4 linked regions of the Arabidopsis thaliana genome follow. The protein of the gene in region 4 binds, or shares a complex with, the protein of the main gene of each other region. Each region holds a gene or a part of one and is shown on either strand. Other genes may lie near its edges.

What was found.
Region 1: ATU2AF65A (region 4) and RSZ22a share a complex: the UniProt entries of both Arabidopsis thaliana proteins name them as parts of the spliceosome.
Region 2: ATU2AF65A (region 4) and RS31a share a complex: the UniProt entries of both Arabidopsis thaliana proteins name them as parts of the spliceosome.
Region 3: ATU2AF65A (region 4) and U2B'' share a complex: the UniProt entries of both Arabidopsis thaliana proteins name them as parts of the spliceosome.

The regions. Positions count from the first base shown.
Region 1 is NC_003071.7:10,447,686-10,452,093, forward strand, and holds RSZ22a (RNA recognition motif and CCHC-type zinc finger domains containing protein), read left to right. Parts: upstream 1-1,945; 5' UTR 1,946-2,018; intron 2,019-2,140; 5' UTR 2,141-2,151; coding exon 2,152-2,240; intron 2,241-2,329; coding exon 2,330-2,418; intron 2,419-2,513; coding exon 2,514-2,763; intron 2,764-2,855; coding exon 2,856-2,981; intron 2,982-3,138; coding exon 3,139-3,175; 3' UTR 3,176-3,499; downstream 3,500-4,408. UniProt on the Arabidopsis thaliana protein: Probably involved in intron recognition and spliceosome assembly.
Region 2 is NC_003071.7:19,135,628-19,140,919, forward strand, and holds RS31a (RNA-binding (RRM/RBD/RNP motifs) family protein), read right to left. Parts: upstream 3,136-5,292; 5' UTR 3,014-3,135; intron 2,888-3,013; 5' UTR 2,866-2,887; coding exon 2,760-2,865; exon of another isoform or gene 2,232-2,759; coding exon of another isoform or gene 2,204-2,231; exon of another isoform or gene 2,101-2,203; coding exon of another isoform or gene 2,055-2,100; coding exon 1,942-2,054; intron 1,864-1,941; coding exon 1,628-1,863; intron 1,534-1,627; coding exon 1,267-1,533; intron 1,173-1,266; coding exon 1,142-1,172; 3' UTR 939-1,141; downstream 1-938. Other genes in the region: AT2G46600 (Calcium-binding EF-hand family protein), read left to right, coding at 443-850; AT2G46620 (P-loop containing nucleoside triphosphate hydrolases superfamily protein), read right to left, coding at 3,444-4,919. UniProt on the Arabidopsis thaliana protein: Probably involved in intron recognition and spliceosome assembly.
Region 3 is NC_003071.7:12,904,845-12,909,689, reverse strand, and holds U2B'' (U2 small nuclear ribonucleoprotein B), read left to right. Parts: upstream 1-2,024; 5' UTR 2,025-2,255; coding exon 2,256-2,328; intron 2,329-2,667; coding exon 2,668-2,840; intron 2,841-3,440; coding exon 3,441-3,534; intron 3,535-3,647; coding exon 3,648-3,736; coding exon of another isoform or gene 3,737-3,796; exon of another isoform or gene 3,797-3,863; coding exon 3,864-4,133; 3' UTR 4,134-4,345; downstream 4,346-4,845. Other genes in the region: AT2G30270 (LURP-one-like protein (DUF567)), read left to right, coding at 633-854, 1,045-1,245, 1,538-1,663; WRKY25 (WRKY DNA-binding protein 25), read left to right, coding at 4,601-4,837. UniProt on the Arabidopsis thaliana protein: Involved in nuclear pre-mRNA splicing.
Region 4 is NC_003075.7:17,293,124-17,299,863, reverse strand, and holds ATU2AF65A (U2 snRNP auxilliary factor, large subunit, splicing factor), read left to right. Parts: upstream 1-2,135; 5' UTR 2,136-2,254; coding exon 2,255-2,368; intron 2,369-2,549; coding exon 2,550-2,836; intron 2,837-2,935; coding exon 2,936-3,034; intron 3,035-3,130; coding exon 3,131-3,204; intron 3,205-3,637; coding exon 3,638-3,714; intron 3,715-3,786; coding exon 3,787-3,834; intron 3,835-3,919; coding exon 3,920-3,979; intron 3,980-4,072; coding exon 4,073-4,133; intron 4,134-4,218; coding exon 4,219-4,331; intron 4,332-4,451; coding exon 4,452-4,898; intron 4,899-5,024; coding exon 5,025-5,160; coding exon of another isoform or gene 5,161-5,433; coding exon 5,434-5,501; intron 5,502-5,587; coding exon 5,588-5,725; 3' UTR 5,726-5,917; downstream 5,918-6,740. Other genes in the region: AT4G36700 (RmlC-like cupins superfamily protein), read left to right, coding at 1-115, 201-281, 438-1,421; AT4G36680 (Tetratricopeptide repeat (TPR)-like superfamily protein), read left to right, coding at 6,147-6,740. UniProt on the Arabidopsis thaliana protein: Necessary for the splicing of pre-mRNA.

The sequences.
Region 1 (4,408 bases), on a different chromosome or scaffold from region 4:
TCACCAAACATAGAAGCAGTGTTGATTACCAAAAAAAAAACATAGAAGCAGTGTTTCATGTCTTAAAACCTATAAAAAAGAGAAAAATTATAAAATAGAGCACGTAATAATTTATAAATTTTATTAATTATTTCTCAAAATAAGTCGTAATTGAGTGCCGTTTTAAAAATCTTGAGGTGAGCTTCTCTCCATCTGAATAGAAAGAAGAGAAAAGGAATAATTCTTGTCGTCATAGTTCAAACTTCAAGTGGACTCTCGACGACATTTCAATAATACACACATACTTATCTAATCCTGTCACTGAATGGAGTCTTGGTTCAAGAAAGGTGCGCACTAAATAGTAAATAAAAAACTACAAAATTATATCATTGCTCTTGGGAATGATTGGATGTTATAGGCTAATCCCAAATTAATATCTGGACATAATATATTGTCACGTCCGGTTTTTGTTAAGTGACTGATTTAAAAGTGAAACTCATAAGTGATAAAGCACAAAATTACGATTTAGCCTCTATTGTCTTTTCCAAACAAACCATTCTAAACTAGAACCATGGTTCAAGTGGTAAAAGTTTTTATTTGAATATTGTGATTTTGGGAGATATAGGCATGGGCAAAAAAACCCAATAATTTTAATAACTGACCAAACTGAACCGTATCAAAACCAAAGTTCTTAAAATAATCGAATGGTTAGTTGTTAATGAGAGAAAGTTACACTCGAAAATTAGAAAAATTATCAAGTAATATACTTATAAATGATTAGTTTCATTGCCAATTGGTTTTAAGTTAGAAACTCATCTTAAACCCAAATATGTTATTAGTAAAATAAGGGTGATTCAAACCATTTCTTCTCTAGAAAAAGCATTAGAAGAGCTAAAGATGCACTCAGTTAATAATGCTAGGATGATGCTAGGATTATTAGCATTAGAAGAGCTAAAAGGTTGTATCTTAGCCTCTTTAATAATGCTAGGATGATGTGATGGAAATATGTTGGTAGCAGAAGGTGAACTTCGAGGCATGAGTGGTTACCATGCCGTTGTCATGGTCATAATTATGTTCATTTGTACACACCTACTAGCATTACGCAAATAAATAATAGTGTCAAAATTGGTTTTTATGGTTATATCTTTGTTTGCCTATCGACTATATATCTAGTGATCGATTCCGATGAATAAAGTAGAGGATTGGTTAGGCCTACAAATAGGCTGATGCATCTATTGTCTAATTTGTGATGCTTAATGAGTGAATTATTATTATAAATAAAAATTTGAACGAAATAGTTTTCTTCACTTAGTTCAAAAACTAGAGGTAATAGTCTCTCTCTTTTTTTTTTTTTTTTTTTTTGGGTCAAATAGTCTCCCTCTTAAGTTTTATTTTCCTCTCTCATCCTCATCATCTGAGATGTATGGGTTAGTATATACATAAAAGTATGAGCATAAAAAGAGCTTTCTTCATTTACATAAAATATTCAGTGGACATAGAAAAGAGCTTTCTTTATATTTTTTAATTAAAATTTGAATTTACGACGAGATTTCAATTTGGGGTTTAGAAACAGTGTTTTTCTCAGGATCTCTACTTGTGAAGTTTTCGCTTGTGTTTTCTTAGTGTTTTCTCCTTGTGTTGTGTTGTAGTTTTTGGGGATTTATGTAGATTTCAATTTCTTTTTTTTTTGTATTTTCGGTAAGTTTTATCAACTTTTTTTGAAAATCGTATAAATACTTAAGAGTGATACTCATTTTTTTTTTGAATTCCTTTTATATGCTGAGAGCTTTTTTTTAATTTTGAATTATTATTATTTAACATCTGACATTTTAATTTTATAATCAGTAATTGCATGAATATGAGGCATTATTGTTACTGTACCATATCGCATGCGGCCCATTTTAAGCCCAAATCAAGGAATAACTTTTGAAGGACATTTAAAGTTGACCCACAAAAAATAACTTTCATCTTCAATTTCGAATCGATAACCCTAATTTCTCACAGACGAGCAAGAGAAAGAGCCAAAGCCGTTTCTTCAGGTAAATCCCGATCTCCGTTGTCACTTCTTTACTCCAGATTCATTCGTAGTTTCGATCTATAGATTTCATCTTTTTGAATTCATCGCTTTCAAAGTTTTTGAATTGAAGCCTTTTGTTGATAGGTAACTTGAGGATGTCGCGTGTGTATGTTGGTAATTTGGATCCGCGAGTTACTGAACGTGAACTCGAGGATGAGTTTCGTTCCTTTGGTGTGATCAGGAGGTACATAAATTGACTCCTTTTTGGTTTTTAGTTGATGTAAAGTGTGTGAATTTGCATTTATCCTCATTGTTCTTTTGGTGTCTGTGCAGTGTCTGGGTTGCTAGAAGACCTCCTGGTTACGCTTTTCTTGATTTTGAAGATTCAAGAGATGCCCGTGACGCCATCCGTGAAGTAGATGGTATTCGTTGGTCTTCTATTCTACTGGTCTGGTTTTATGAGTTGTTATGAGTTGTTATGAGTTTGATATATATATGATCTATATTGTTATGGTAGGCAAGAATGGATGGAGGGTAGAGCAGTCTCATAACCGTGGTGGTGGTGGAGGTCGTGGTGGTGGTCGTGGAGGAGGTGATGGTGGTCGTGGACGTGGTGGTTCTGATTTGAAGTGCTATGAGTGTGGTGAGTCTGGTCACTTTGCACGTGAATGTCGTTCTCGTGGTGGTTCTGGTGGTAGGCGTCGTAGCCGCAGCCGTAGTCGCAGTCCTCCTAGATACAGAAAGAGTCCTACCTATGGAGGACGAAGGTTATTGTCCCTATTCTTTCTGATTGACGATTTGCAACTAAAAGAAATTGGTCTACCTCATTGATTTATTACCTTGTCTTTTGGTTTCACAGAAGTTACAGCCCTCGTGCTAGATCTCCTCCTCCTCCAAGACGTCGTAGTCCTTCTCCTCGTGGTCGCAACTACAGTAGGTCACCACCACCTTATAGAGCACGTGACGAGGTGCCATATGCTAATGGGTAAAACTCCCCTTGCTCTTGAGTCTACTGTATCTCAATCAATATAAGAAATTGAAACTGAACTAGTGGCATTATCGTCCCAAAGACTTTTTTGTTAGACGTTGTGTTAAAAAACAGAGTCCATGTGGCTGATAAGTTTTTGTATTTGTTTATGCAGAAATGGTCTGAAAGATGTGCGCAGAAGCCGGAGCTGAGTGTTACTTGTCTAGATAGCAAATTATGGGATCAGGAGACAACTATTTGCTTGTGACGTCAAGAGGAGAGGAAATTAGTATCTGTGAATTTCACTAAGAGAATATGTTTTAGCTGTGTGGTGGATTGGATATGCTTGCTACTTTTGAATTGCTGGAAAGCTTCTTATTGCGTTTGGATTATGAAGCCATAGTTGTATCTGCCGTTAGGTAAAGTACTTTTAAATATCTACCCATGTTCTTAAAAGACATAAACAAAAGCTCTGCTAAAAACCTATGCATTTTCTTTGTTTTTTGTTCTATCATCTCGAGGTTTCTTCAGGTTTCTACTGCTTCATTGCTTATCTGCTTTTGGCTTCTTGGTTAATTTGGTCGGCCTGCTATGGGATCTTCATAGTAGTTTACCACAACTTCTGCTTCATTGCTTATCTGCTTCTCGCTTCTTCGTTATTTTGATCTGCCTACTTTGGGATCTTCATAATTGTTTACCACTACTTCTGCTTCATTGCTTAACTGCTTCTGGCTTCTTGGTTATTTTGATCGGCCTGCTTTGGGATCTTTATGTTAGTTCACATCTACTCTGCTTCTCATCTAGATGCTCTTATGTTTGAAAACTTCATCGGCTCTGATGATTGCTGGTCTTGCTTTTCTTGAACTTAAAATGGCCGAGGAGTTGCACTTGCTACTCTGGCAGGTATTTAATACCTTTCAGGCAGGCTTCGAAGAAACTTGTCTTACGGTGTAGAATAGTTTAGAGTATGTAGAACGTCTCTGCTTTGTTTGAGGTGGGCACTTGGATAAACACTTATCGCCATCTGCAATAGTCATTCCTTTGGTTTCATCACGTTTGGTACATGGACTAATCTTTAAACGAGAGATTTTTCTGCTCATTGGTTTCAATTTCATCATGTTTGATTCAAGGATCATTCTGTCTTTATTGAAGGCTTTTTGGCTGCCTCCTCTTCTGATGATGCTTTGGTTTAAAACCCTAGTAAAAGGAGTAGATTTTCATAAGTTTCTTATCTTTGTCCTGTTTTGTTGTGTCCTGAAAATACTTATTTTTTATGAAAAATAATTTACAGATATCCAACTTCATGAGTTTGTTCACTTTTTATATTTAGCAAAACTTTGTTGTCATATGTTTTACTTATCATCATAATCAACTAAACATGATGACGACGATATCTCCTAACAACTAGAATCGAGCAATTTTGTGTTCGTACTTATTCAAGTGAC
Region 2 (5,292 bases), on a different chromosome or scaffold from region 4:
AGATATTTTATTATATGTCGACATGTCGTTATTATTGTAAGAGAATCCAATTCCATTGAAGTAAATAATTGAAAGACACGACGGAAGAAATCAAGAAACGAAACTTCTCCGAAACTTACCATTGTCTTGTCTTTCTTTTGATAACAATATATGGGAGTGGGAATGCGTCGTATTCACGGCCCATTCGAACTTTCCACGAAACCACCTAATAATCAGCTGCTTCCCTCCCTACTCACGAAATCGCATTTTATCTTGGAATGAATATCAGCCGTTCATTATTTCAACTTTCAGAATCCAACGGCTGCGATTCAAGAGAGAGTTTTAGGCCACACGAACGTGACAAACACATCGGTACAGATACGCCACTCACTTATATATCCCTTTGGAACTAATCAAAAGAGTTCACCAAAATCTCTTCTCTCTCTTCCATTGTCTTCCTCTAATGGAACCAACCGAGAAATCTATGTTACTAGAAACTACTAGTACCACGAAGATGGAGACCAAATACGAAGATATGTTACCAGTTATGGCGGAGAAGATGGATGTTGAAGAGTTTGTATCAGAGTTATGCAAAGGTTTCAGTTTGCTTGCGGATCCAGAGAGACATCTCATCACAGCTGAGTCTCTAAGACGAAACTCAGGGATACTTGGAATTGAAGGTATGAGCAAGGAAGATGCTCAAGGAATGGTTAGAGAAGGAGACCTCGATGGAGATGGTGCTCTTAACCAAACCGAATTCTGCGTTCTCATGGTTCGGTTAAGCCCTGAGATGATGGAAGACGCCGAAACTTGGTTGGAGAAAGCACTCACCCAAGAACTATGTAATCACAATCTCTCTTCTATGCCTTGAATGATCGTCCTCCTTTCTTGTGTATTCTCTTTTTACTTCTACAAAACCTATAAATGTTTCTGAATATAAAATGAAGTAATGATTTCTTGATCCTGAAAAACTGAATGGATTGCCTTGAAACTATTCCAATTCCAAAAGAGATCATTGCCATTATAAGCTACTAATACTTTCTACACCACATAGAGTGCAAAGCACATACGGTTCAAGTCATAAGCGGTAAAGACTCAGTACTAAGAACTTGTTTTTGTACCATGCCCATACATTCTAAAAATCCATCGCCCAACAACATCTTCAACCTCTTGCTCTTTGAATCGGGGACCGGCTGTTAAAAAATAGAAAAGAAAAATCAGACAATTAGAGTAGCACATAACACTATATATAAGGATATTGACCATTCAGAAGCCAAGTACTGTTACCTTCTGTCATAGCCCGGACTCCTAGCTCTTGCTCTACCATAGTCTGAACTGCGACGCCCATAATCTGGACTCTTACGTCTTTCATAAGGAGCAGGACCCTTGTACCTGTCATATTCAGGACTGCGACGACGGGTATAATCAGGACTAGGACGCCTCCGATACACTGGGCTAGGAGATCTCCTTCTTCGACTGCCAGCATATCTATCTTCTCTTTCACCAGCCTCCCTCAAGGCATACTCAACAGAAACAACCTTATCCAGTAATTTGCTGCCAAGAGAGGATAATCAATGTAAGGGATTACCACTCGATCAATCACTACATGTCAGATAAATAGGTACTAACTAAGCAGGTTTGTTGTTACCTGTTGTGTGTAGAATCAAGAGCCTTGGTTGCATCTTCCTGGGTTGCGAATTGAACAAAAGCAAAATTGCGCCTCATGCGAACATTGAGAACTTTACCATATGGCTCAAAGTGTCTCTCCATATCACGCTCTCTTGTGCGAATAGGGTCAAAGTTGATGACAAAGAGTGTCTTTGTAGGCCTCTGATTCGAGACTGCCTTTCCATCACGAGGCTTCCCACGTTCACCCTGAAAGTCCTGAAAGCCAAAAGAAACTTAGAGCTCTCTGAAAATATCAGAGCATAAGATTAATTTTTAAAAAGAAGAAAAAGATACCTTGGCCCATTCAACTGATAACTTGCGTCGCCCATATCCAAAAGTGGTATTGTCAGTCCTACGGATTGCATCTTCAGCATCGCGCTCATCCTCAAAATACACAAAAGCATAACCTGCAAGAAAACAAAAACTCAAGATAAGAAGAGCGAGCATATACATTGACAAACTGTTTCAGCCCACAGAAATTGCAATGCAGGAGTTAGTCGATTAGAAGACACCTTTTCACCTAGAGAAAGACAAAAACTAAATAAATATACAACACCTGCATCAATGTGAAGGCTGGTGTACATAAGAAGTAGAGGCGTTCGATGTAGAGTAGTAAATAAAGATGTAGATGTGCAGTTGTAGAATGTAGCCTATGAAAAGGTAATAAAATCCAAATTTCTGTTCAATTCTGAATGGTTGCTAAGCCTTGCTTCACCATTCTGACATGAAAGGCGTGAAGAAACAAGGCAATAGATTGTAGGCTCAGCGAAGATTGTGGGCACAACATCATAACGGTAGGCATGAGAAAATGTAGGAATCTATTTGCAGGAAGAAATTGGCAATCCCATGAAAAGAGGAAACACAGTCATGCTCCTTTAGAGAAAGCTCCTGCGACCAAACAAACACTTACATACGAGAATCCCTCTCTTAAACACAACCCCAGTCATGGTTCCTTTTGAATTCTCTCCACACTCTTAACACTAATTCATGCTTCAGTAGAAAAAGTATCAATCAATAATGCCTGAGAAGCTCTCAAATTCCAGAATCAAACAGAGACTACAACACAGCAGATTGATCGCCATAAGGAGTACAAGTGCAAGAAAACGTTTTACCAGACTTCATATCAACTCGCTTCACTCTCCCGAACTTGCTGAACAATCTTTCAAGATCCGAATGGCGAGTATCATAGTCGAAATTCCCAACGTACACATGTCTCATTCTTGCAAAAGCAATCGAATTCCTAACACCAATTGTGATCAACATAAACAAAGACAACAAAGATCAGAACATTTATACTCGAAGAGCTCGCAAAGTATCTTTGATGATTCGATAAATCTTCATCTTCTGAGGGAGATATTCAATTTACCTTGAAGAATCTGAAGAGACGACGACGAGAAAGATAAACCCTAGAAGACGACGACGACGCTCGGCGAAGAAGACGGAGCTTCGTATTAATGACACAAAATCTTATAATGATGAACCGAAAAGCGTGTTATTGACGCTGTTACCATGAAGGGCATATTTGTCATTCCGTTAAAATTATTAATCCGCTTAACGCTATGGGCTTTTGTTTTACAACCGGCCCAAAATGTTCAATTACAAAGTGCTCAAAACTCAGAATCTCATACTTTGGGGACTCAAAAGCAAAATCTTATAAACTTCTGTACATCAACTAAAACCCAAAAACAATAAAAACAGAGTAACAACTTTCTCTAGTCTACGCTTTTTGTCCAGACTCTCTCTCAACCAATAAAACCAACCCACGTGGCTGCTGACTTTTAAAAACTTTTTAATCACTAGCCGTCCCTCATCTCTCGAGCCACATCGAACGATCCAGATTTTCTACTACTTTTAATTCTCAACAACCCATACAACTTCCTAAACTCCTTCACCGCCGGCGAACTTCCTCCGCCACCGCCGCAAAGCGAACCACTCATATCATCAGAAACATCCTCCGACGTCGACTTTCTCGAACCATTTTCTAAAAGCAAACGTCGTCCAGTTCCTCTCCGATCACCATCAGTCTGCAAAGCATTGATGACATGCTTCAATGCACGAGTCGGCGAGTTACGATTCGCGATCATCAACTCTCCGATCTCGGCGGGACTCAAAGACGCACCGTTTTGAAATATTCCTTCAACTTGAGAGAAAAGCTTGTGCTCTTTAACACCTAAGTAGTTATTAGCGAGCGTTTTAAACGCCGTGAAATCACATAAGGGAAAATGAATGTGTACGTCGACCCGACCCGGTCGAAGCATAGCCGGGTCAATTTGTTCTTTCCCAGTCATCGTAAACACCATGATCCGTTCATCGGCGGTGCAAGAGCTGAGAATACTATCAGTGAAATTCAAAATCCCAGATAAATTCACAGCCGTTGATTTCGTCGAGAGGTGTCGATCTAGATCTTCGATCACGATCACTGATTTGCCTCTGGTTTGTAACAGAAGCATCTTAAGATCTGAATCATCAACTACTTTGGAGAGATCTATATCGTAAACATCGTAATCTAAGAAATTCGCCATTGCTGCGACGAAGCTTGATTTTCCGGTACCGGAAGGTCCGTATAAGAGATAACTCCGTTTCCAAACACGGCCCAGACGATTATAATACTGTTTACCTTTGAGGAAAGATTCGAGATCAGATTTGACTTTGTTCTTCAGATCCGTTTCCATGGCGATGTTGTCGAAGGTACAAGGATGATCAAACGGAATCGATCTCCACCGTCCGTTCTTCTTCTTCTTCTTATTCAGATGATCATCGATTCCGACGTTGATGAAAAGCTTAAGCTCTGTGTTCCTCTGTTCAAGCTCATCAGATACTGTATGTATATGCTGGAGATAAGAACCGAGAATTCTCCGTTTGTCAGCTTTACGAATCTTCAAAACGAAATTCCTCGCTCCATCTTCGTCTTCTCCGTTAATCCAACAAACTCTAGCGCCGAGAAACTCGTCGCCAACGACTTGGTTCCGATCTAACCGGAGGATGATTTCGTTGGACTTTTTCCCGGTGAAGAGGTTCGTGAAATCAGAATTCTCGATCGAGCTTAAGGAATTTAGATACATGTAGACTTTTTGGTAGAGATGATTCTCTTGAACGTTGTCGTTGAATTCTGGGACTTTGTAGAATTGGTAAACATGAAACCAGTCGATGATCTTCCTACGCCATAACTTGACCATGTAAATCAATCCAGTTTTGAATAACAGGATCCTAACTAAGAACAGAGCAAACGTTGACACAAGTAACAAGAGAAACGAATCCCAAAGAATCCCCATGGAGAGAAATAAAATAAGAAAAACGTAAAACCTCTCTCTGGTTCCAAAACTCTCCGCTATATTATATAGTAGTAACGAAGAAGAAGAGTTTACTAGGTTTATTAGAGAATAAAGAAAGCAAACGCATGTTCGGAGAATTGTGAGAAAAAACAAAGAGAGAGTGATTATTTTGACGGAGATTGAGAGAAAGTTTGGAGGAATATTAAGAACAATCGGAGAAAGCCTAAAAGGACGACGAGATATTATTATTTTTTTCTTAAATTATTCTTTAAGAAAAAAGGCGTGACGGGGACGAGGTCACTCAGCAATCAAAGGGGTGATTTTTATAAATCTAGGTAACGGCGATTTAGTTGTTTGACAAGTTCTTTGATTG
Region 3 (4,845 bases), on a different chromosome or scaffold from region 4:
GAAATGCATGTAAGGGTGATGTTTTGAACAGAGTAGATCATCATATATATATTCTACAGAAAACATAAAAAAAAAATAAAATCAATACATTTTGAAAGATTATACATAATTCTTAGTTTTTTTAAAACAAACATTTGAGAGGGATGGAAATGCAAAAAAAAAAACCTTTATAAATCAATTCATGTCAAAGGTATGTTCACTAAAAATGTATCTTTTCCAACAAACACATATGTTAAACCATACGTTTTTCCAACCTAATGTAAGTAACACATTTACCATTTTCTATTAATTTATTAATCAAGATCAAACATCAAAAAAATGTGTTATTACTTTTTAGTTTTTTTTTTTGCATTTCAGTTTTGTGTGAAAAAAAAAACAAGAATTGGTATCTCAAGAACGTAAAAGAAAATTATCATTACTATTTTATTATCTTTGGCTTCTACATCCAATTATTTACTTGCTTAATTTTATTCATCTGAATTATTTTTTGGTGTAAGAAGAATGTTTCGCCGCAAAAAAAAAAATCTGATCCGACATCATTAGAACAAAAAAAAACATTGGCGTTGAATATAAGCTGCTTCTCTTGTTCTTCTTCTACCTTACGCTTCTGACTGTTATTAGAGACTATGTAAATGGCTGATTCCGAGACTCCGTATCACCCCGACCCTGAGGATCTCCGGCGTATACCAGTCGATCTCTTCGCTTCCAAAAAGCTTCCCGGACTTTCCTCCGGCGATCTCGGATTTGCCGATTCTTCCGAACATCTCGTCTTCATCCTCCGCAAATCTTCTTCCTCCTTGAAATCTCTCCTTGATTCCTCCGGAGTTCCTCTCTTCTCCATCTCTCGTCTCCACGTAAGCCTCCTTCGTCCCAAATTTCATCGATTTTGGCAATTCTCATCGCTACTTGTTTAAATCTCATTATTCATTACATAGTCCACACGATGTTTATACTTTTTGATTGTTTGGGTTTTGTTAGTTAGTCACTGGCTTGAGATATATCATAAGAACACTTACAGATCTTTGTATATGTATTGGAATGTAGAATGGAGTGTGGGAATTACATAAAGGAGATGTGGAAAAGCGTAAGGATTTGGTTCTAACGGTGAAGCGGACATCGAAAAGATTCAGTAAGACAGAGTCAGAGGTCTCTTTTGCTGGAGAATCGTCCGAAAATCTTGTTATCAAAGGTGTTCCCTTTCAGAAATCTTGTACCATTTATAGTCAAGATTCCATTGTTGCACAGGTAAAGATACTCATCTTCTCCCAATTACAGCACTATTGAACATTCTATAGCTAGACAAGAGTCAATACCGTGTTATACTGGTTTTGATTACCGGGTTCAAAACTCATCGTTTGGATCATGCTTGCTGATGGATAAACAACCAACCCTTTGTTTCGTTCATTTGAAGTCGGATTCATTAGGCTTGTAAAATTTGCTTGGATTCTAATACACTTGTTTTAAAGATTTTTGTTGTTGTTGTTGTGTTTGAACATTTGCCTCAATCTGATTTATGTTCCTTTAAATGTGGTGGCAGACGAGTTTGATGTACAAGCTGAGACAGATTTACGTAGGGAGAAGCAAGTTCCGGTTAACGATATTTCCTGGATCCATCGATCATTCACTAGTAGTCGCAATGGTTGCCATATTTCTTCAAGGATGAAAGTGAAACATCCTCGATTTATTTTCTCAGTGTAAAGAAAAATGTAACACAGAAACAAAAAGGCATTTTAGTACATTGCATTTTTAATGCCTTTTGATTCAATCGGCTCACACGTGAATTGTATTATCTATCACATGAATATTGAGATATACTAAGGTCTAAGGTTAAATCTTTTTTCAGAACAAATTTGCAAGCTCAGCTGGAAAAATACAACATCATTTACATTATTTTAAAAAGTTGTTGAACATTTGAATCAAAATGATTCACAAGACTTTTGTTGGAATTTTGCAATAAAAAAATTGATCTCGAGTCTATAAAAGTCCAATCCCGACCACTCATTCTATTTCCGGTTCAATTCTGTCTAGCCGGTCAAATTCAAATCCGGTCCATCCGGTCGGCTCATTCACGTTGGTACAAAAGTTTAGGAAATCGAACCAACAAACTAAACGGCGTCGTTAAATAGTCTGATGTTGAAACGCAGCTATTTCTTTTACTCTTCTTCGTCTCTCTCATTCCCAGTTCCCACCATTAGGGCTCTCTCTAAATTCCTCAGTCTCGAGAATCTTCATCGTCTTCACGAGCTCACTCGAAGATGTTAACGGCAGATATACCACCGAATCAATCAATCTACATCCAAAACCTCAACGAAAGGATCAAGAAAGAGGGTAAACTTCTCTTCTCGTTTAATCTAATTCGTCAAGTAAATTTCCAAATTCTTAGATGTTGAAACCTCCATGAACTTCCTGTACCAATGATTCAAGCTTCTACAGTACTGAATGTTAGGGTTTTTGCTTGTTTTTAGCTTATATAGAGTGTTCGTTTCTAAATACTAGGGTTTCAGAATCGTATTGAATCTAGTGACAAGGTTATAAGGAAGATATATATGTTGGTGTTGTCTGTTTTCGCCATTGTATGGATAATTGTTATAGACGTGTGAAGTAGTGTTGGCTCAGGGCAGTATCATCAATCTCATGCTTTATCTGACTTGGTTTTTGTTTTCTCAGAATTGAAGAGATCTCTTTACTGTTTGTTCTCTCAGTTTGGGAGGATACTTGATGTGGTTGCTTTGAAGACTCCGAAGCTCCGAGGACAAGCTTGGGTTACTTTTAGTGAAGTCACTGCTGCTGGTCATGCTGTTCGTCAGATGCAAAATTTTCCCTTCTATGATAAACCAATGGTCAGTATTTCATCACTCTTGAGTATATCAATCTCTTTATAGTTTCCATGAAAGTGATCTTCTATGTGTTGTATAGATCGATAGAAGCAAATCGTTAGTGTGTTTGTGTAATTGATTACTAACAATTTGTTTTGGAACCTTTGACCTTTTTCTATTCCCAATCCATTGGTAGTCATATATGTGTTTAGATTTTGTTGCTGTTGATGAGTAACCAATGATTAGTATCCACTACCTTTTCTGTCTTGAGTATATCAATCTCTGTATAATTTCCCTGGAAGTGATATTCTGTGTGTTGTATAGATTGATTGATGCGGTAAAAGCAGAAATCCTTAGTGTGTTTATGTGATTACCAATGATTACCTTTGACTGTGTTATTCTCAATCAACATTTAGTTATATGTGTGTTTGGATTTTGTTGCTGACCTTCTCAAATCACATTCTCTTATGATTTCTGTTGTCAAAATGTTTGTTCTGTTTGATATATACATTGTTTTTATAACTAAATCTTACCTCTTTCGATTGTTTGTAAACTATTCAACTACTTCCAATCAGGTTGAGATTTATTATTATTCATACTTTTTATGTGATCTTTTAAGTGCAGCGCTTACAATATGCAAAAGCAAAGTCAGATTGTCTAGCTAAAGCTGAGGGAACTTTCGTTCCAAAAGATAAGAAGAGGAAGCAAGAAGAAAAAGGTTTTAAACTTTATTTCTTCTTTTTGCATTTTGTCGTAGATGTTGGTTCAATGATACAACTATAAAATTTTCACTTGCATCTAAAGTTAACAAACTTCCTTTCTTACTTTCAGTTGAAAGAAAGCGTGAAGATTCCCAACGACCAAACACGGCTAATGGCCCAAGTGCTAATGGTCCAAGTGCCAATAACGGAGTCCCTGCGGTAAGTGTTCTTGTTCTCACCTTCATCTTCAGAAAAATCTTCCATTGTTGGATCATGTGAACCAAACTATTGTTATCTGGAGATGATGCTGATGTTTTGCGTTTTATCTCTGCTCTTCTTAATGCAGCCTTCGTTCCAGCCGAGCGGGCAAGAAACAATGCCACCAAACAACATACTCTTCATTCAGAATCTCCCACACGAGACAACAAGCATGATGCTACAGCTTCTCTTCGAACAGTACCCTGGATTCAAAGAGATAAGAATGATCGACGCAAAACCAGGAATCGCGTTTGTAGAGTACGAAGATGATGTTCAAGCTTCCATAGCTATGCAACCTCTTCAAGGTTTCAAAATCACTCCCCAGAATCCAATGGTCATCTCTTTCGCCAAGAAATGATAAGAGTCTTGTTTTTGTTTGTTTGTTGTCCTTTAAGACGATAGTACTGGACCAACCAAACCTGGTGTGTATAACCAACCAACGGTTCTATTGGTTAACGGATTAATCCGGTTTTGGTTTAATCATTGAAAGAGACCCTTGAAACGCGGTTTCACACTTGACGATTTATCACAAATTAGGAGACGACTCATCAAAAAAGAATATCTTACTGGTCAACCATTTTATAGAAATATTAAAATCAAAAATGATATTTAGGCCAAAGTAGAAAAAGACAAGAAGAGAGAGAAACAAAAAAAACCTTGCTCAATACGCCACCGTCGTCGTCTTTAACCCAATCTAAAAGCCTCTGTTCTTTTTTAGTTTTATCCTCTTTTTCATTTCAAGATCAATTTCATAAAAAAGTTTCCTTTTTTAGCGAATCCTCTGTTTTAGAAATCTTAAAGTTGTCTCCTTTATTAAAGACCATCATGTCTTCCACTTCTTTCACCGACCTTCTTGGTTCTTCCGGCGTTGACTGTTACGAAGATGATGAAGACTTGAGAGTTTCTGGGTCGAGTTTTGGTGGGTACTATCCAGAGAGAACCGGGTCTGGTTTACCTAAGTTCAAGACGGCTCAACCACCACCTCTTCCGATTTCACAATCTTCTCATAACTTCACTTTCTCCGATTACCTTGATTCTCCTCTGCTTCTCAGCTCCTCACACGTAATAAA
Region 4 (6,740 bases):
TTACAGGCTACGTCCCGGTTCGGTTTTCTACTTACAGAGCAAACCGGTGGATATCTTCCTTGGAACCAAACTTAAGCTTTACGCAATCTTCTCCAACAACGATGAGTGTTTACATGTATAAGTTTGATATGATTCTTTCTTTTTTCACTTTCTTGACATCTTTTTCTTCTTCTTATTGTATCTGTATTCCATGGATGCAGGATCCTTGCTTTGGTGCCTATTCGAGTATCACAGATCTAATGTTTGGTTTTGATGAGACAATTCTCCAGTCAGCTTTTGGGGTATGTCTTAATCTGCCGATGAATAAGTTACGAATTGTCTATATCTTACTTGGGAAGCAAGATAGGAATTGTGTATATCTTACTTCCCAACTTACTCTAGTAGAGGATATTTTGGGTTGTATTAAGTGATATATTAAATTCAATGGTTTTAATTAGGTTCCTGAGGGGATTATAGAGCTGATGAGGAACCGTACGAAGCCACCATTGATCGTGAGTGAGACGCTTTGCACACCAGGTGTGGCCAACACTTGGCAGCTCCAACCGCGATTACTAAAGCTCTTTGCTGGAAGTGCAGACTTGGTGGATAACAAGAAGAAGAAAGAGAAGAAAGAGAAGAAGGAGAAGGTGAAGAAAGCGAAGACATTCAATGTTTTCGAATCTGAACCGGATTTCGAGAGCCCCTACGGTCGTACTATAACGATTAACAGGAAGGATCTGAAAGTTTTAAAAGGCTCAATGGTTGGAGTTTCCATGGTGAATCTCACTCAAGGATCGATGATGGGACCGCACTGGAATCCATGGGCTTGCGAGATTTCGATTGTATTGAAAGGAGCAGGAATGGTTAGGGTTCTTAGGTCTTCGATATCATCAAACACATCATCAGAGTGTAAGAACGTGAGGTTTAAAGTAGAGGAAGGAGATATTTTCGCAGTTCCACGGTTACATCCAATGGCTCAAATGTCTTTCAACAATGACTCGTTAGTGTTCGTTGGGTTTACTACTTCAGCTAAGAATAACGAGCCGCAGTTCTTAGCCGGGGAGGACTCGGCTTTGCGGATGCTTGACCGGCAAGTATTGGCTGCATCGCTTAATGTGAGTAGTGTGACGATTGATGGATTGTTGGGAGCTCAGAAGGAAGCTGTTATCTTGGAATGTCATTCTTGTGCGGAAGGAGAGATAGAGAAGCTTAAGGTGGAGATAGAGAGGAAGAAAATAGATGATGAGAGGAAGAGGAGACATGATGAAAGGAAGAAAGAAGAAGAAGAGGCGAAGAGAGAAGAGGAAGAGAGGAGGAAACGTGAAGAAGAAGAAGAGAAGAAGCGGTGGCCACCTCAACAACCACCACAAGAAGAAGAACTTAGGGAACGGCAACTACCGATGGAGAAAGAATGGGAAATGGAAGGTGAAGAGGAGAGTTAAGCCGGAGGAGTAAAAGAGAAGGCCAACGTACGTCAAGAGTGTGTTTGGTTTGTTGTTAGTGGTTAGAACTTTGGTTCTGACCTCTCTTGTAACTTTTTTTTTCCATAGTCTTGTTTATTTGTTAATGTACTTTTGCATTGTTTTTGTTGTTGCCATGTTTAAAGTTGTATTGTGTTTGTATAATGTTTTGTTTTGTTTAAATCTTTGTAGATGGTAAATGAGAAATAAGTAAATATTTCCGAGAGACTGTTGAGTGACGACGTTACTTCTTGTTATTGATAACTCTGTGGTTTATTATACACTTGTAGTAGTAGTCGTACTTGCTAACTTATGTCATTTGGTTTACAATTGTATAATGTATTTGTAACCCTCTTGCTATAGCTTCGGCATATTAAAGTTTTGAATGGTGATAACGGAGGAGTCGTAGATAATGCAATCAACTTCCCATGCTCTGTTCTCTTGTTGTTGCAAGAGATATTGGAATAAAAGGCAAATTTATCTCAAACACAGATTGGGCCATATCTTGAAAAGGCAAATTCATAAAACTCTCAAAAAGTAGATTTATCCCAAACACGAATTGGGCCAACTATTGGACCGGATGCGCTGAATAATGGGCCTTATCAGATTTGGACCGGCCTGTTTTTATATGACATTTACAAAAATACCCTCACAGGAGGTCCCGTGTTGGCTATAAAAAAATAGAATAATCCGTAATTGCCCTAAAATAGTTTGGTTTCTGCATCCACCCCTTTCTTCGAATCTCGACGGCTGAAACAGATTCTAAATTTATCTCCGGTGAGAAAGAGATAGAGAGCGTTGATTCCGGCGAAAAGATGTCTGAATTCGAAGATCACGAGGGAAACGGTACGGTTGCTGACGCGATTTACGACGAAGAGAATGGTGGCCGCGACGGCGAAATCGAGGATCAATTGGACTCGAAACCCAAGGTAATTTCCCCCCTGATTATCTTCAATCTCCTAGCTTATAGTTGGAGTTTCGAATCTATATTTCCTAGCAATTGGATTGAATTGAGAATCGAATTATGAGATGATTAGTTTTAAAGCTGCTTCTGTTTCATTGATTCTTAAACTGTAATTGATGAGGTTTTGGGTGTGTTTACATGTGCAGAGAGAATCGCGTGACCATGAAAGAGAGACATCAAGAAGTAAAGATAGAGAAAGAGAGAAGGGTCGTGATAAGGACAGAGAAAGAGACTCTGAAGTCTCTCGCCGAAGCAGGGATAGAGATGGAGAGAAAAGCAAGGAGAGGAGTAGAGACAAAGACAGAGATCATCGTGAGCGTCATCACAGAAGTAGTCGTCACAGGGATCATAGCAGGGAGCGTGGTGAAAGAAGAGAACGTGGTGGTAGGGATGATGATGATTACCGTCGAAGCCGTGATCGTGACCATGATAGGTAGACTGTTCTTGAATTGAATTATACATTTTCAATTTAGATTGAATCCTTTTTGATTTTATGGAAGGTACTGATTTGGCTTATTTTTTATTCTTCTAGGCGGAGAGATGATAGAGGAGGAAGACGCAGTCGTCGATCTCGATCTCGTTCAAAGGATAGATCTGAGCGCAGAACAAGGTCACGATCTCCATCGAAAAGGTAGCATTTTTTTCTCATTGGATTACTTACTCTTCTATGAAGTAATTGCTTCAATCTAAGAAAGTTTCTAACCTCACTCAATATATGTTGTTGCAGTAAGCAGCGAGTCAGTGGATTCGATATGGCACCTCCAGCCTCTGCAATGTTAGCTGCTGGTGCTGCTGTTACAGGTATATCTCTTTAATTTAGCACCTTCTCATTAGCATAATGTAGAATTCATACCTAATACACGTACTGGGATTGATAAAATCTGTTTCTCCTGAATAACTACAAAAACATAGGCTGTTTTCTTTCTTTTTTTACTTGGGACATAACGCTAGAACTGAGAGCTTTTGGTTGTTTGGTGGTCTTTGTGTCTCTTGTTTGCTTTTCTGTTTTGGTAAGGCAACACTGGGTGTGGGCTGGTTAGCTCTTATATACAAGGAAGAATTACTGCGTATGGGTATTGCTCATCCTCAGTACATATCACTGGTTTTGTTAGTCTTGCAAAAATTTTCCATGCAGACTTAAACCTCTTGATGTCACCAATACATTTCCAGGGATGGTAAACTAGGTTTTCTCATATGTAATTTTCTTATGTATTAACCTGTTTTTCTTTTGTAGGCCAAGTTCCTCCCGCTCCACCAACTCTTCCTGGGGCTGGAATGTTTCCCAACATGTTTCCATTGCCGACTGGACAGGTCTGTGGTCTTTCCCTTTTAATATTTTCTTAATTGATGTCTTTCTTGAACTAAGTCGTCTATGTCCTACAGTCATTTGGGGGACTCTCTATGATGCCAATTCAGGCTATGACACAGCAGGTTAGATTTTATTTATCATGGATATACGCAAGATACTATGTATTTCTCTGTTCTAATTTAATCCTTATTTACTTTGTGTCTTCAGGCAACTAGACATGCTCGCAGAGTCTATGTCGGTGGGCTTTCCCCTACGGCAAATGAACAGGTTATTATCCACTTTCTTTTTTCATTTTCTCCCACTGAAATATGTTTCAGCAAATAATGATACTAACATTGATTTATTATTTTGTATTTGCAGTCTGTGGCTACATTTTTTAGTCAAGTTATGGCTGCTGTTGGTGGAAACACTGCTGGTCCAGGTACATAATCCTGGTGCAGATGCTAGAGTGTCTATTATGATACTTGGATTAATCTTTTTTTATAAATCTTTTTTCTTACTCGCAGGTGATGCAGTTGTTAATGTCTACATAAACCACGAGAAGAAGTTTGCTTTTGTGGAGATGCGATCTGTTGAAGAGGCAAGTAACGCTATGTCTTTGGATGGGATTATATTTGAGGTATGTTTTAATGTTTACCGCACTACCAAATATTTGGTTGAGTTTTAGTACTGGCATTTCTTTGGTATATAGGTTACCCAACTGAATGCTTATCTTTCTTTTTCTTTTTTTCTTTTCCAGGGAGCTCCGGTGAAGGTGAGGAGACCTAGTGACTATAACCCATCTCTAGCTGCGACTCTTGGTCCAAGCCAGCCCAGTCCCCATCTAAACTTAGCTGCTGTTGGTCTGACTCCAGGTGCTTCTGGTGGGCTTGAGGGACCAGATCGTATTTTTGTTGGTGGACTTCCATATTACTTCACGGAATCACAAGTGAGGGAGTTGTTGGAGTCCTTTGGAGGCCTCAAGGGCTTTGATCTTGTAAAAGATCGAGAAACAGGGAACTCTAAAGGATATGCCTTTTGTGTGTACCAAGATCTTTCTGTTACAGATATCGCGTGCGCTGCCCTAAATGGTATCAAGATGGGAGATAAGACTCTTACAGTGAGACGTGCCAACCAGGGAACAATGCTACAAAAGCCTGAACAAGAGAACGTATTATTGCATGCACAGCAGCAAATAGCTTTTCAGGTAATTTTTTTTCTTCTTAATAATATTGGAAGAAAACAAAATGAGCTTGCAAAACGTGTTGAGACCTAACTTGAATATTTCCATTTATAAGATTAAAAGACTGATTGATGGTTTTATCTTTTGCAGAGGGTTATGTTACAGCCTGGTGCAGTGGCAACCACTGTGGTGTGTCTGACTCAAGTTGTTACTGAGGATGAGCTTAGAGATGATGAGGAGTATGGAGATATAATGGAAGACATGAGACAGGAAGGCGGAAAGTTTGGTAAGAGACCTCTTAATTGCGCAATATGGTCTATTTTGAAATATAAGATTAAAAGCATATTGATCTGTCTCTCTGTTTTCTTGGTTGTGCTGTTTTACAGCCTTTTGCTATAAAGAATCAGCCCTAACATACACAGACAGGAGACTGCATAAACCTCCTAATCTATTTATCACCAATGGCCACTATTTCTTAAAAGAAAAAACTGACTTGTTTTTGTCTGTGTTTTCTTGTCTTGTATTCGAAATGTTTTGTTCTTTAACTCTTAAAATGCAGGTGCTTTGACCAATGTTGTGATTCCGCGTCCAAGCCCCAATGGTGAGCCAGTGGCAGGCCTTGGCAAGGTAAACTTATCTCTCTCTCTTTCTCTCTACTTCTTGTATATTTCTATTTAGTCGTAATCTGACTGTCTGATATATTTAATGTGCAGGTGTTTTTGAAGTATGCCGATACAGATGGCTCGACTAGGGCAAGATTCGGGATGAATGGTAGGAAATTTGGAGGAAATGAAGTCGTTGCAGTGTATTACCCTGAAGACAAGTTTGAACAGGGTGATTATGGAGCCTGATCACTTCTTTGTTTGCTTTCTATTACTTAAAAGTTAAGTACTTTGCTTCAGTTTCAAGACCCTTTTGCGTGATTGTAAGAGTATGAGATTATCGACACGTTGCTTATTATAACGTTTTTATCTCATATCTTTGGTCTATTTCTTAAATATTTATCTCAAAAATTATTCACAGAATAACATCATGAGTCCCTCGTAAAACATCATTCGTCTCTCGTAAATGTGACATATGTTCTAAATCAACACAAGAAGTTGAGTACTCTCTCTATTGAAATATTCAAGTAGTTTGGTTCTCTTCTGATAGAAGAAAAAAGAAAGAAAAAGAAGCAAACTTGTAAAACCCAAAAATCTCTGTTAAGCCACTAAAACCCTAAAGGCGTCTCCTTTTCTCGCCACCACTCTCCACAATACCCATTTCTGCAAAATGGCTTCTTCTCGTATTTCTCTCCGCCTTGTTCGCCGATTTGCCTCAGCCGCCGCTGACGGTACGACCACCGCTCCCTCTTCAGGCAAAATCTCTGTCTCCAAAGCTAAGTCCACTCTCCGGAAAGAACACGATCCCGACAAAGCTCTTAAGATCTACGCCAATGTCTCCGATCACTCAGCCTCTCCTGTTTCATCTCGCTACGCCCAAGAGCTCACTGTTCGTCGCCTCGCCAAGTGTCGCCGTTTCTCAGACATCGAAACCCTAATTGAATCCCACAAAAATGATCCCAAAATCAAAGAAGAACCTTTCTACTCTACGCTTATCAGATCTTACGGCCAAGCCTCTATGTTTAATCACGCCATGAGAACCTTCGAGCAGATGGATCAATACGGCACACCCAGATCAGCTGTTTCCTTCAACGCCTTGCTCAACGCTTGTCTCCATTCCAAGAATTTCGATAAAGTCCCCCAACTGTTCGACGAAATTCCTCAGAGGTACAATAAGATCATCCCTGACAAAATCTCTTACGGTATATTGATTAAGTCATACTGTGACTCTGGTACCCCTGAAAAAGCCATTGAGATTATGAGA